Linked DNA regions of Caenorhabditis elegans. The protein of the gene in region 2 interacts with the protein of the main gene of each other region in a pairwise test. Each region holds a gene or a part of one and is shown on either strand. Other genes may lie near its edges. The genes, in order: exc-7 and asd-2.

Region 1 (7,906 bases), on a different chromosome or scaffold from region 2:
ATCTGTTTCTAATAACCTTGCCAGATTGACAGAAATTTGCTCCTAAATACCGTGTTGTCATGGAGATAAGGAACTATCCTACCCTTTATGTTTAAAATCATTATCATATGCATTTCATATTAAAAGTTCCTACTGGCAATTTGTATCAGTTAAAAAATCTAAATCCGATCGTGATCTCCTTCTTCTAAAGTCAAGTTTTGCAGTAAACTTTCGAAAATATCCTCCATTGACCGTGCTTTGAACTTTACAGTCTTTGAATCCGTGATTTGTGAAATCGAAAACCCCTAAATCCGAAATTCCCGAAAAGTCCAAAATCGCAAGGGTTAAATGTAGTTTGAAGTACTTAGTAGTCATTTATCTCAAACCAAAAGTCCAAATGGAAGGGCCATACCTAATTATTGGGAACGGATCGAAGGCATGAAATACTGTATCCTGTAAAAGGGCCTGAGCAATTATGAATCTCGCCGACGCGGGGGTACGTACTCTCATCCGGCCGCCCTCTCCTCTGCACCACTTTTCACACAACAATATGGGGGCCACCCCCCTCTACCTAACTAACACATAATTGAGTCCCCCTCTCTACCTATTCAGGTTTTGTTGTTCATTCAACTGTGCGTGTCGTGTGTATTTGTATGGGGTGGGACGAGAGGCGGTGAAGAAGAGGACTAATGGAAAACCACAATTGAAGAGTGCGTTTCATCGTCGATCACCGTTTCTATGGTAGTTATTTTGAGATGACAATGATGTCGATTTTTTTTATTGTTTCCTAGCATTCCATAGTGACCAATTGCCAAAGTTTTGTGCTTAGACAGGTTTTGGGATATTCTCAAGATCAGCGGAATCCTTTTTTTTTGTTGCAAAATTGCAGAAGCATTTGGATATTTTCTTGACTAGATGGTGCAAACTTGCGATGGAGTGTTTCCAGTTCAAGAAAACTGGAATCGGAGCAAGTAACAGGGTTACTGTAGAATGGTTGATGGTATTCTATAGGTTTATTTAACTCGTTCTTTCGTAGCCCCTACGTTTCTTTAAAAATTCAAACTTCCCAGAGCCACAAAATTTCCACCGGGCTTCACGTATTCCCTCTTACCGAACACCTATTCAAATACGTGTCATCTTCAATCCTTTTCCCCTATATCCTTCACTAACCAGGTCAGTCATGTTTGATCAACCATTGTTTCCACACCTGCCCTCACAAAAATCCTCAATCATGATGCGCTCTTATTCTTTTTTCTATGATGTTGGAAATTATGAAATTCAGCTTTCACACTGTATTCTTGTAATGTCTGGACCCTCACTATACACTTATTCAAGCCGTAATTGGCGTGTATACGTATCCATATAATGTGTCAAGTTCACCTGTTTCCTTCATTTCCGTCTGAGCACATGATCCAAAATCTTATACAACTGAATTCCTTTATATAGATTGTGGAAAGTTTCCTGCAATTTCTAGTAGTTCTTGTTTCCTAGTCTTTCGGCTTCTTATCTGCCTTTTTAAAACTTTACCTACCTCATAATCCGTACAGTTCCCATTTTACCTGTTACACACATACACAGGTATTTAGAAACTAAGCATCATACCAGCAATAATAAAAACAATAAATGTTCTTTTCATTGGCAATGAGATATATTCATGCGTCTATGTAAACCAATAACAAAGCTAATTAGAATTGAAAACAACAGGGAATTGAGTGGCAGAGTATAGGTATGTCATGCTGTGCGCTGCCATAATTCTGCAGCTTCAGTTGAGTGGAGTAGGATTGTGAAAAATCATGGTGTACAACTAGTTCTGTAAAGTTTCACTGATATTAAACGTTTTCCATTTACTTTTATTTCACTTCTATTTTTCTTGCTCTCTGATATGTTTTTTTAAATTAATTATCAAACCTATGAAATTACAGATCCATCTCCCCTAGTCTCGGCCGGCCCAAAACGAACGGAGCATATACGGGGAGCCGCGGCACACAAACATACACAAAATATAAATAGGCCACGCCCATTTGTGCATATTTCTACATATATCCTCGCGACGGGCCCCCCGCCCCCCTGAGCCCCTTTTCCTCTTCCTTCTCTTTGCTCTCACAACAACCGGAGCTCTTTCTTTTTGAAAAGAGCCCTCTTTTGTTTCCTGACAGACCAAGTGGAAGAAGTGGTGGTGTGTCAACTTCAGAAGACAACGAACGACGCATTTTTGGATAGGAAATTCGAATTTTTGAATTCCAAAATTCGGTCTTCAAAATGACGATGGAAGCGTTGCTAACACCGAATAACAACAATGTTCCGACGAGTCCCGTTCAGGTAATTTTTTTTTTCAATTTTTATTAGGAAAGATCTATATGAAAGTCCAGAAGCAGTAGAAAAAAAAAACAAAAATAAATACGGTTTTCAAAATCTTTGAACATTGAGGTCTACAAAAAGTCCAGAAATCTACTCGACTGTAACATTTCATATTTTGGTTGCCTAAGATTTTATCAACAAAAATTCAACTAATAAAATATAGAACCATAGCAAAGATACACATTTTAAAAGTAGAACAGTAAACTGCGGTAATTTTGAAGAGCTGTAAGTTTGTTACAGGTTCTAACTGTGAATGGTTTTTTTATTAGTTAAATTAAAAGTTTAAAAAAAGCTTTTAGAACCTGATCATGACAGTTGTTTAAAATTCGGACTAGGTAAACTGGATGCTTAGGCTCCGTTCAGATCTAAAAGCTAAACAAATTGTTGAGCCTTGAATTCTAGTAATAACCATAAATCTGAATATTGTTTCTTCCCCAATGTCCAATCCGTCAGTGAGCCCGAGTCCAAACTTGGTATACATGCGTGTGCATTTGACGTGTCATTCTTTCAAGAAAGCTTCCCAATTCCCAAATGCCAATTTTTCAAAATCCGAGAAGCCTTCTTCCTTACTCTTCTTCTCTTTTCTCCGCCTTTCCGAACCACTCCTTTTCGAAAATACGTCCCATTCATTACGCCTTGAGGGAGGAATGAGGGAGGAATAAGGACCAAAAATAAAAATATTTGTTTTGTGAAAGAGCTCAGAAGCTCAGATTCCTGCGTGCTCATCCACCTATATTATGATGATGTGTTGTGGTGTTGGTGGATGGGAGTGGAAATGACATGAAAATTAAAATATGGAGAGAAAAATTGAAAAATAACAAGAGAATACTAGATTTTTAGATTTCCTGTTGAAAATTGTTTTCTTTTTTTCTAAAAAGTTTTTTGATTATTGAAAAAATATAGCTGAATTAACAATATCATAATTGTGCAATATATGACTAATGAAATTGGTAGAAACGAAGTTTTTTTTTTAATTTAAATTTCTAGAGGTACTATATATATGGAATATTCTAAAACTCAGCGATTTTCTTCAGTTTTTTTGAAGTGTTTCTTCAAAAAATTGATAGAAGACCTATAAATTAAAATTTAAAAACTTTTAAAATTTTGTGAAAATTCAATTCGAAATCTACTAGAATTTATATCACAGTTTTGCTAAATTACGTTCCTCCTCAATACCGGACGGTTCAAAATTTTATTTCTATAAAACGCATATGGAACTCTTTAATCAAAGATCCTATAAAAAACTCTTAAAGTCTATTCATTCCAACAGCGTAGAAAAAAACGTTTGCATATATTTCATTTCATACATTATTCCCTCTCAAATACCCATGGGTATTGTTGCTCTTCCAGTGAGCACACCAGGAGGTGGGAAGAACATGCGGGGGGCTCCATCTCTTCCATATAGACTTGCTCACGCACAGGAAATTTGAGACGTGGCCAAATAATGGACAGCGAAATGGATGAATTCTCCGGTTACTTGTACCGAAGAGCCCTCCCGCGCGCGAGAAAAGAATTGAAATTGAAAATTGAGATCTCCCGGTGGAATGAAAGATTGGAAATCATAGGGGAAATATTTTTGGGTCAGATGTAACCTCCAAAAATGGAATATATAGTCAGATTGGACAAAGATGGCAGAAAAACATAATAATTTATTTATTCCCAAATGAAAAAAATGAACAATTTCCGGGGTTACCGACGCTTCTCACCAATGCTAGGCACCCGAAAATATACGAGGTGTATTATTTATGTAAATTGACAAAAACGGGACTTCTATCTAGGGAGTTCAGAATTTTTTACATCTGAAAATCGTAGATTTTCATTCGAAAAACCGGGACCATTATACAAAAATCGCTTTTAAATTTTAAATTTATATTTTTTGCAGACAACCTACACAAGTACACAACGATACTGCTCCGCGCCAAATGTGGATATTGGAGAATCAAAAACAAATTTAATTATCAATTATCTGCCACAAGGAATGACACAAGAAGAAGTTCGGTCCCTTTTCACATCGATCGGAGAAATTGAATCTTGTAAATTGGTCAGAGATAAAGTAACAGGTGAGGAGGAACTTCTATATTATTCATTATTTTATTTTAAACTTATATATTTTCGAAATCCAAACATTATCTAGCTAGATCACCCCTTGCCTTATCATTTTTATTTCTGACTGATTTTTGATTCCCAACCACGAATTGAGTTGCTCTAACCGTTTTTTGTGTCTCGCCGAAAAAGTTTAGCATGAAACTAGATTTTGACGCCTCTTTTCTGATAGATCACAAATAATTTTATTTTCTTCTTTCGGATCGATTTTTGTAAATCTGTACATGTGTGCGTGTGTGATTGCTGCTGCCCCGCCCGCCCTACTCCCCCTAAAGTTTTTCATTTTTCGGTTATTACTTTTTTCCGTGATGTTCTGATATTCGTTTCAACTTTTCATTATTTTTTTCAAAATCACTCACACACACACACAATTGTACACCAAGAATTCACATTCACTTTTTGTGCTAAACATTTTTGAATAGGGATTGTTAAAATTCTAAAGTTGTGATATCTAAATACTTTTTTGGAATAGTTTCATACCATTAAATCATGTGAACTAATTTAGAATAAGCAGCAAACTGTTTGTAGCAAAAAGATGTAGGGAGATTATTTTTCAGAAAGAGAGCTCTACAAATACAATCAGAAAATCTAAACCCGTAACCTATAAATAATTGTTCTTTTGTTATATTTTCACACTCTTTCTCTCTCTTCTCTCTTCGGCATTTGGTGTTTTTTCATTTCAGGACAGTCCCTTGGTTACGGTTTTGTTAATTACGTCCGAGAAGAGGATGCTCTTCGTGCAGTCAGCTCATTCAATGGCCTACGATTGCAGAATAAGACGATCAAGGTGTCAACTTTTTTTTTTTTTTTTCGGAAAAATATTATTATTTTTAGTTGATTTACATGCTACTTGTCTTTTACTTTACTTTCACTCTTTTTTATTTTCAAAAAAAGTTTTTAATTTTTCAATTGTTTGGGTGTTCCTTTGACTATTAGAAAACACCCCCTTGCTCCTGTTGTGCAATTTTTGTTTTAAGTTTTCAATCTTTTTATTTTAATATTTTAATTTCAAAATTTAATTTCAACTTTAATTTCGCGAAACCCCTTTCCCGATTTATAATGATTTTAGCTTCTAAATGTGTGTCTAAACGTCCGTTAAACGTCTCACGTCTTTCAAACAATCACTAATAGGAGCAATAGATGTGCACAAAACGCTTAGAAAATGTTTAATTATATTTTTACTTGAAAATTCGCATTCTTCATATATGTAAAAGAAAAACATTCACTGGTAAAAATACAAAGTTAAATTTTAGAATATTAAAATTGTAATCTATAACTTGAAATTTTCAGGTATCATATGCCCGTCCATCAAATGATCAAATCAAAGGTTCAAACTTATATGTTTCTGGAATTCCAAAATCGATGACTCTGCACGAATTGGAATCGATTTTTCGGCCATTTGGACAGATTATCACATCTCGAATATTGTCAGATAATGTAACTGGTGTGTTTTTAAAATTATGTGAAATGTGTAAATTTTCAAAATTAAGAAAAATATAGTTGATTGTTTACGGAATATAATTTGTTTCATTTTTTATTAGAGCTATTTCAGGACTCTCAAAAGGCGTTGGATTTGTACGTTTCGACAAAAAAGACGAAGCTGATGTTGCAATTAAAACACTAAATGGAAGTATTCCATCAGGATGTTCAGAGCAAATCACAGTGAAATTCGCAAATAATCCAGCAAGTAACAATCCGAAAGGACTGCTGAGTGATCTGGAAGCCGTACAGCAAGCCGCCACAACACTGGTACCATTGAGCACAATTCTTGGAGCACCGACGCTGAGAGCAACTGCTGGAGGAATCGGACCGATGCACCATGCTCCAATTACTTCAAAGTACAGGTAAGCCCGAAGAAATCTTGATTGATAATAATTGTATTTTCAAGTTTGTATATTCTTCTTTTTACATTTTCAAGACCAATTTCCAATATTTCAGATATTCCCCAATGGGCGCCATCACTGCAGTATCCCAGCCAACCGCTACACTTCCTGCTGACTATTTGACAACTTCTGCGCTTCTTCAGATGTCTCAGTTGAATGCTCTTGCTGGCCTGAACCCTTTTGCCACAGCAACAGCCGTACCTGATTTCACAGCTTCATTAATAGCGCATCAGCAACAACAACACGCAGTTGCTCAACAACATGCTGCACAAACAGCGAGCCCTCCGGCAACAAATGGACAAGTTGCTGGATTAGCAGCTCATGCTCAGTTATCTGCATTGTCAGCTTCAGTTGCTGCCACGTTACCGCCATCAGATACTGCTGGATATTGCCTTTTCGTATATAATCTTTCATCAGATACTGATGATACACTGTTATGGCAGTTATTCTCACAGTTTGGAGCAATTGTTAATGTTAAGGTAAGCAAGAAATTTTAAATGGAAAATTTTTTACTTGAAATATTTGAGATTCTACGAGACCTGACACAACAGTGCAAAGGATATGCATTTGTATCGATGAGCAACTACACAGAAGCCTATAATGCAATGCTTTCTCTGAATGGCACAAATTTGGCTGGAAAGACGCTTCAAGTAGTTTTCAAGTCATCAACTCCATATCGAGCTTAAACTTTTTTGCAAAAATATTCTAATTTCAATCATTCCAGTCACTTGTCTCCCATTCTCTTTTCATTTTCTTCTTCTTCCCCAACCAAAGAAATTGTGATTTTCCCCCTCTGAAATTCCAGTCACTTTTTGTGTGCTACTAGTCACCCCCCCCCCCCCCCCATTGTGTTCCATCCCCTTTCATGAGCAACTGTGAGCAAAACCAATCGAATTCCGGTAACGAAATAAGCCACGCCCCTTGAGAATAATGAGCTTCTGCCCACCCCTGTCCCAAAACCTTGAATCAGCTTTAACATCTTCAAAACTTTTATCAATTTTACCTAAAATATGCCAAATCCTCCGTCACTTTTCAGTATTTCGTACAGTTTTCTGATTTTTATACTGGGTTCCTTGTTTTTCTTTTACAAAGATTTTTTGAAATATTAAAACTAAAATGTGTATAATAAAAATTGTATACCAATTTCAGTGATAAATAATTTATTTTATAGAAAAAAGAAGAACAAAGCTGATGATTAAAACTGAACTCGATTTTCTGATTGGAAGAACTTGTACCAATCGATGATATGAGATGTTAAAAACTGGAATTGATATTTAACCGATTGAACCTGAATGAAAAACAACGGACCTGAAAATTAAATTATTATTTTAAATTGACATTTTGAAAATTTCCCCCGTAATTTTATTGCAATTTTAATTGAAAGTTTATTAATTGTGAAATGTGCTTTTTAAGATGTTGCAAACACCTAATTACTATTTTCACTTTTGAGATATGTTAATTTCTAAATAACTTTTTTTTAATTTCCTAATTTTAATTTTCAAAAGTCAAAATAACAAACGAATTTTATAAAAGAAAAAAGAGCAAACTTACCTGTTAACTTACATTCCCTTCCTATTCATCAA
Region 2 (4,856 bases):
GATCCGCAGTTATGCAGAAACTTGTGATAATCCGACGAATAAATATCAAAAACATCTCGAGTTCCCATTCAAGTTAATCATTTTCACAAATTTAACTCAACTAGATGATCAACTCAACATCTCTCCAGATACCTGTCACTAGAAATTATATCGTTCTGTTTCCTTTCACCATTTTCTTGCCTTCCGCTTTCATTTTTTCCTCATAAAACGAATCATGGGAACCCCGAAAAGATAGTGTTGATTGAACGGAGACGGATGATGGAAAAAGAAGAAAATACGCGCGCACACATGTTGTCAGTGATGGCTTTCCAGTGATTTTCCAATTTTTATTCGCGTGTGTTCTATATTGAGCTGCTCATCGAATGGATAAGTGTTTATTCTCTAATTACATTCGGATTGTTTTCCATATTGAACATAGTTAGTTACCGAAGAGATTATCTTCTCATCAAGTCTTTGCAATTAATGATATTTTCTAGAAAGGTTTTTTGCGGCGTCCATTTTTTCAAATTCTTGACGGAAATCCGACATTTAGAGCCAATCAATTGAGACAAAGTCGGGGTCCTTTAGTGCTTCCCGATGGCCTCAAATAGCAACAACTGGTGCGGAAAAGTGGGCAAAGAAGAATAAGAGGTCACCTGGCATCGTTACAACTGATCCGCCTGTCATTCTGTCCGTCTAAATCTCTCTAATCCGTAATCTATCGTCATATAAGTTTTCCTGAGCTCATCATCATGTCTTTCACTCTTTCTCTTCGTCCACTTCTCACTCATTTAAGCTTATTCCTTCTTCCTTTGCTTCTCGTTCGAATACTAAAAGAAAGGGTGTATGAAGATGATGACTATAATTAAATCTGCACGCGGCATGTATTAATTCATATTTAGTGGTGGTAGAGGACTCATAGTTTTCTTCATTCCCTCTACCGTGCAGTGAGACATTACTTTTGGAAAAATTTATTGAACTTTACAATAAATTTGAAATATGTAAAGTTGACATATATTTATACCGATACGATAGGGAAGCCAGCTTTTACGAGCACTTTTCCAGAAAACTTGTGTTTTACATCGAAAATACATTTAGCATGAATCTTTTCGCTCAAAATATTTCTGAAAATCTGAAAATGCGAACCCTAATTAATATTTAATTCGATTCGCGGATTTGCCAAATTCTCTTGTTATTCCTCGAATTTCTGGAAAACCCACATCTCGTTTTCTTTCTCTAATATAATCTTAATTCAGATTGAGCAATTCTAAACTTTCAATTTTTCCAATAAATTTTCTTAATACTCTTTACCCTTCCAATACCCTATCCAAAATACTTTCGTGTCAATTTTTCCAAGAATTATTCATATTTTTGAGGTGCAACTCTCACCCCAGTAAGAGAAGATTTTCATTTTTACACGAGGTAGCTTATAAATATCGATGAACTTATTTTTCCAAACAATCTGAGCTTCTCAAATCGAAGCAACAAGTGATATCACATTCAAAATAATTTCTGTCAATGTGGACAATTTCAGTCAGTTATTTGAAAAATACTGAAATTTAAAAAACCTTGCCATTGGAAAATATTCATTCATTGAAAGTATGCTTTCAATATTCTTGCCTCTTATTTCTTTTAGTGCCGCATTCCAACGATGACCTTCTCATTGCAATACATTTGAAAAATGAAAGTGTATGCCGACTGCCTAGGTGTTACGTAACTTGCCATCCAGCCGATTCGGTTTCTTCTCATTTGTTTATTCGCAAATAAAACACCTTATGCTTCTTAGCTCACTTTATCTTTATAGATTTTTATTAATTCAAAAATGACTCCAGTTTTAAATGTTTAATTTCCAGCCGTATTCCTGTCTTCACGCCACCCAATCGATTCTTCAAGTGCTAGGAGCTGTCAGGTAAGCTGTTATTTCTTTTAAAAATTTGTATTTAACTGTAAATAAGTAGAAAACCATTAACTTGAGAAAAGTTCTTCCAATATCCTTTCACCAATTTTATTCTCGTGTCTCGGACAATTCTATTATTCCATCATGCAAGCAATGTACCGGAAAATTGGTGCATTCATAAGGTGCATTCATAAGGCCATCCTTCAATTTCCTTTTACAAATGTTACCTTTTATTGTTTTTATTTTCGGTCCTCTTCCCCTTTACCTACTTTGTTCGGAGCTTTATAATCCTACAGTAATCTCTTAAATCTGAACCAGTTCCCATTGAATTCTTCTTTCCTCTACTTTTTAACATCGATGAATGTGGGTAACCACGGGTGTTAATATCGGGCAATAACGAAATAGTGCAGACTTCACTGGAGAGACCGTCAGAGAAATACCGACAAAGTATGTAATTATGTTCTCCTCCTTTCACCATCACTTCGATGTATTTACTTGCAAGTTTGGAGTTTGTTCACATTTTCAATTCTCCCTCTTATTCTTTTTTAAGGTCAATGCTTTCAGTTCAAAAATAATAAAGCCATATCACTTTATTAAAATTCCATAAAAATCTAGAATACCGTATTCAATATTAACTCTTTGCGTTGTTTTCTTAGGGACCATGAATCAGAAGTTGAGGATTTGACTAAAAAGGATATGGTTATAAATTCAAATAAATGAATCATTCAAACCTGACGTGATACATGCTCATTGATTATTTCGATGTTTCTAACTTTCGAATCAGTAACCTGATTCTTGACGATTTCGTGGAAATGAGTTACATTAACAACATTTTGATACTCAGACTCTCCCATCTTGAAAATCAGAAGTTGCTGTTTCTTCAGGTTCATCGATAATTGAGTCTCAATTCCGAGTCGTTTAACAGTATAAATTCCGCATGATTTCTCACTTTCACTGCCGTAGGGAAAATAGGAAGCACAGTTTGCAGTTTCTTCTGAAATTTAATTTTTTTTTGAAATCTGAGGTTTAAAATTTTACCCGGGTCTAAATCAGATATAGTGTGAATTGTTGGAATTCCTTTATGTAGAATCATTTGCCAAAAGTCTTGTGTCTGTTCTGGATCTGGACTGTTGGCATAAATTTGAATGACATTATTCAGACGGTTTTGAGATTGAATTGGATATGAGCCGAGCGATTTCTGTAGATCAAATTCCTCGGTTTCCAGTTTAACGAGATTTTCAACTTCGTCAGCTCCGCCAATTTGTCTTGATTGGCATCCAGACAGTGAGATCTGAGATGATGAAGAGGTCAGGAAACCCAAATAGCAAGATTTTTCGTAGAGAGCCTTTCTATAAAGAATGTTCGATTTTCATTTCACGGTATCGAAATCAAACCTAGCGTTGGCCGCCTGAATAGGTTGTGTCACGAAATCTGGAACACTGGATCCTTTCTTTTCAATGAGATATGAATTACGCTCCACAAGTCTATCCCGGAGAGGACTGAACTGCATTGGACCATGAAAAAGCCAGTGTTGAGTTGGCTTTAAAAATATAAGATTTATTATTTATTTTTTGATAAAAGCTTACCATATCATTCAAAAGATCTTTTCGAAGATTCTCAAACTCTTCATCTTCTTTTGTATAATCTTTTGATGGATATTCTTGAATATCTCGTTGACAGTGCCAAACAACATACCAACCATAATTTTCTGGTCTAAAAGTTAAAATCAAATCAGTATTAGTAATCTGAACACATTAACTTACACTAGTTTGCATCTTACTGCAAACTTTTGAATTTTGCAATGTCGATATGGATATTCTGGATCTGTCAATCGTCGTACAATTATCTGTCCACATTTGAGAATCTCTTGTTTATCGTCAGGAATATATTGCTTACAGTTGGCCCCTCGTTTCTCCAAAAACTTTCCAAACATTGTAATCAAGCTGATGCGATCTTTATGGCACTGAGTCCAAAAATCTTGTGTTCGAGTTGCGTCAGGGCCCTGAAAGAGTTATAGTGCATTTATTAATTATAATTTCACTTACCAGACATTCGAATTCCAACCCATGACCATTGATTGAAGACTCTACCATGTCAAACTCGTAGCTATTCAGAACTTGCTGACAGCAGGTTTTTTCTGAAATAAAATAACGATACTTGCGATGAAATAAACTGAAACTCACTATCTCTTTCATAATCCTCCTTTGTTGGAATCAATAAATTGGGCTCCGAGTCTTTGTGATTTTCATATTTTTCAAGAAGAGCATTCATATCATACTTTGGCCATCCATTTTCATCATCACTCAAATCAGTTAATAAATCATCAGCTTTACATTCAAGTTCATCAATTTCCTTCAAAATCTCTTCTTTTGGTTTTGATTTACCATAATTCCCAGGAATTCTTCCATGTTCGAGTTCGAAAAGTTCCTTTGGTGTAAGCATGGTTTTACGCTGTTTCAAAAATTCTCGATAGTTTTCCGAGCATACAAGTTCCCTTATATTGGAATGAGTTACATCAATTCCCTGATTGGCAAGATATAACAATGGATCAAATATCGACTCAACACTATCATCACTGGATTGTATATCAAGATGTTCATCGTCAACGCCACTTCCGGTAACATCCACCTCACTTCCAGAAGACACACGTGAGACTTCGGAGACATCACGAGAGATTCTTGAATCGGGAATCGATTCTTCGCATGTTTCTGGAATGACCGGCACTTCCAATATGAAATCTTGAGACTTTGCAACAACGGCGGGACCAGATTCAATATCGACTTTTGTATAATATCGATCCGCTGGTGGCGAGATTTTCGCCTTTTTTGATGATTTTGCACCCATTTTGTGCAAGTTGGAAGACTTCAAAACTCGTAGAAGTTTAAAATGATTGTCTTCGCAAGATTTTATAATCGTGGTTTATTGATCTTCCCTTGTGTACGTTGAAATCAATAATTATGTTTTCAAATGTTTTCACGTC

Evidence for each region.
Region 1: the proteins of asd-2 (region 2) and exc-7 interact in a two-hybrid assay, tested with the Caenorhabditis elegans proteins (2 studies listed by BioGRID).

What each region holds. Positions count from the first base shown.
Region 1 is NC_003280.10:9,574,070-9,581,975, forward strand, and holds exc-7 (RRM domain-containing protein), read left to right. Parts: upstream 1-1,901; 5' UTR 1,902-2,238; coding exon 2,239-2,298; intron 2,299-4,219; coding exon 4,220-4,397; intron 4,398-5,123; coding exon 5,124-5,227; intron 5,228-5,730; coding exon 5,731-5,884; intron 5,885-5,992; coding exon 5,993-6,284; intron 6,285-6,378; coding exon 6,379-6,802; intron 6,803-6,850; coding exon 6,851-7,009; 3' UTR 7,010-7,466; downstream 7,467-7,906. Other genes in the region: Membrane-associated tyrosine- and threonine-specific cdc2-inhibitory kinase wee-1.1, read right to left, coding at 7,896-7,906.
Region 2 is NC_003279.8:6,889,118-6,893,973, reverse strand, and holds the start of asd-2 (K Homology domain-containing protein), read left to right. Parts: upstream 1-1,830; 5' UTR 1,831-1,888; intron 1,889-2,451; exon of another isoform or gene 2,452-2,528; coding exon of another isoform or gene 2,529-2,561; intron 2,562-2,607; coding exon of another isoform or gene 2,608-2,870; intron 2,871-2,914; coding exon of another isoform or gene 2,915-3,225; intron 3,226-3,270; coding exon of another isoform or gene 3,271-3,416; intron 3,417-3,462; coding exon of another isoform or gene 3,463-3,589; intron 3,590-3,639; coding exon of another isoform or gene 3,640-3,878; intron 3,879-3,921; coding exon of another isoform or gene 3,922-4,013; intron 4,014-4,059; coding exon of another isoform or gene 4,060-4,720; exon of another isoform or gene 4,721-4,772; intron 4,773-4,856. Other genes in the region: C48B6.4 (Tyrosine-protein phosphatase domain-containing protein), read right to left, coding at 2,529-2,561, 2,608-2,870, 2,915-3,225, 3,271-3,416, 3,463-3,589, 3,640-3,878, 3,922-4,013, 4,060-4,720. UniProt on the Caenorhabditis elegans protein: RNA-binding protein that binds to the 5'-NACUAAY-N(1,20)-UAAY-3' consensus sequence in pre-mRNA introns to promote alternative splicing.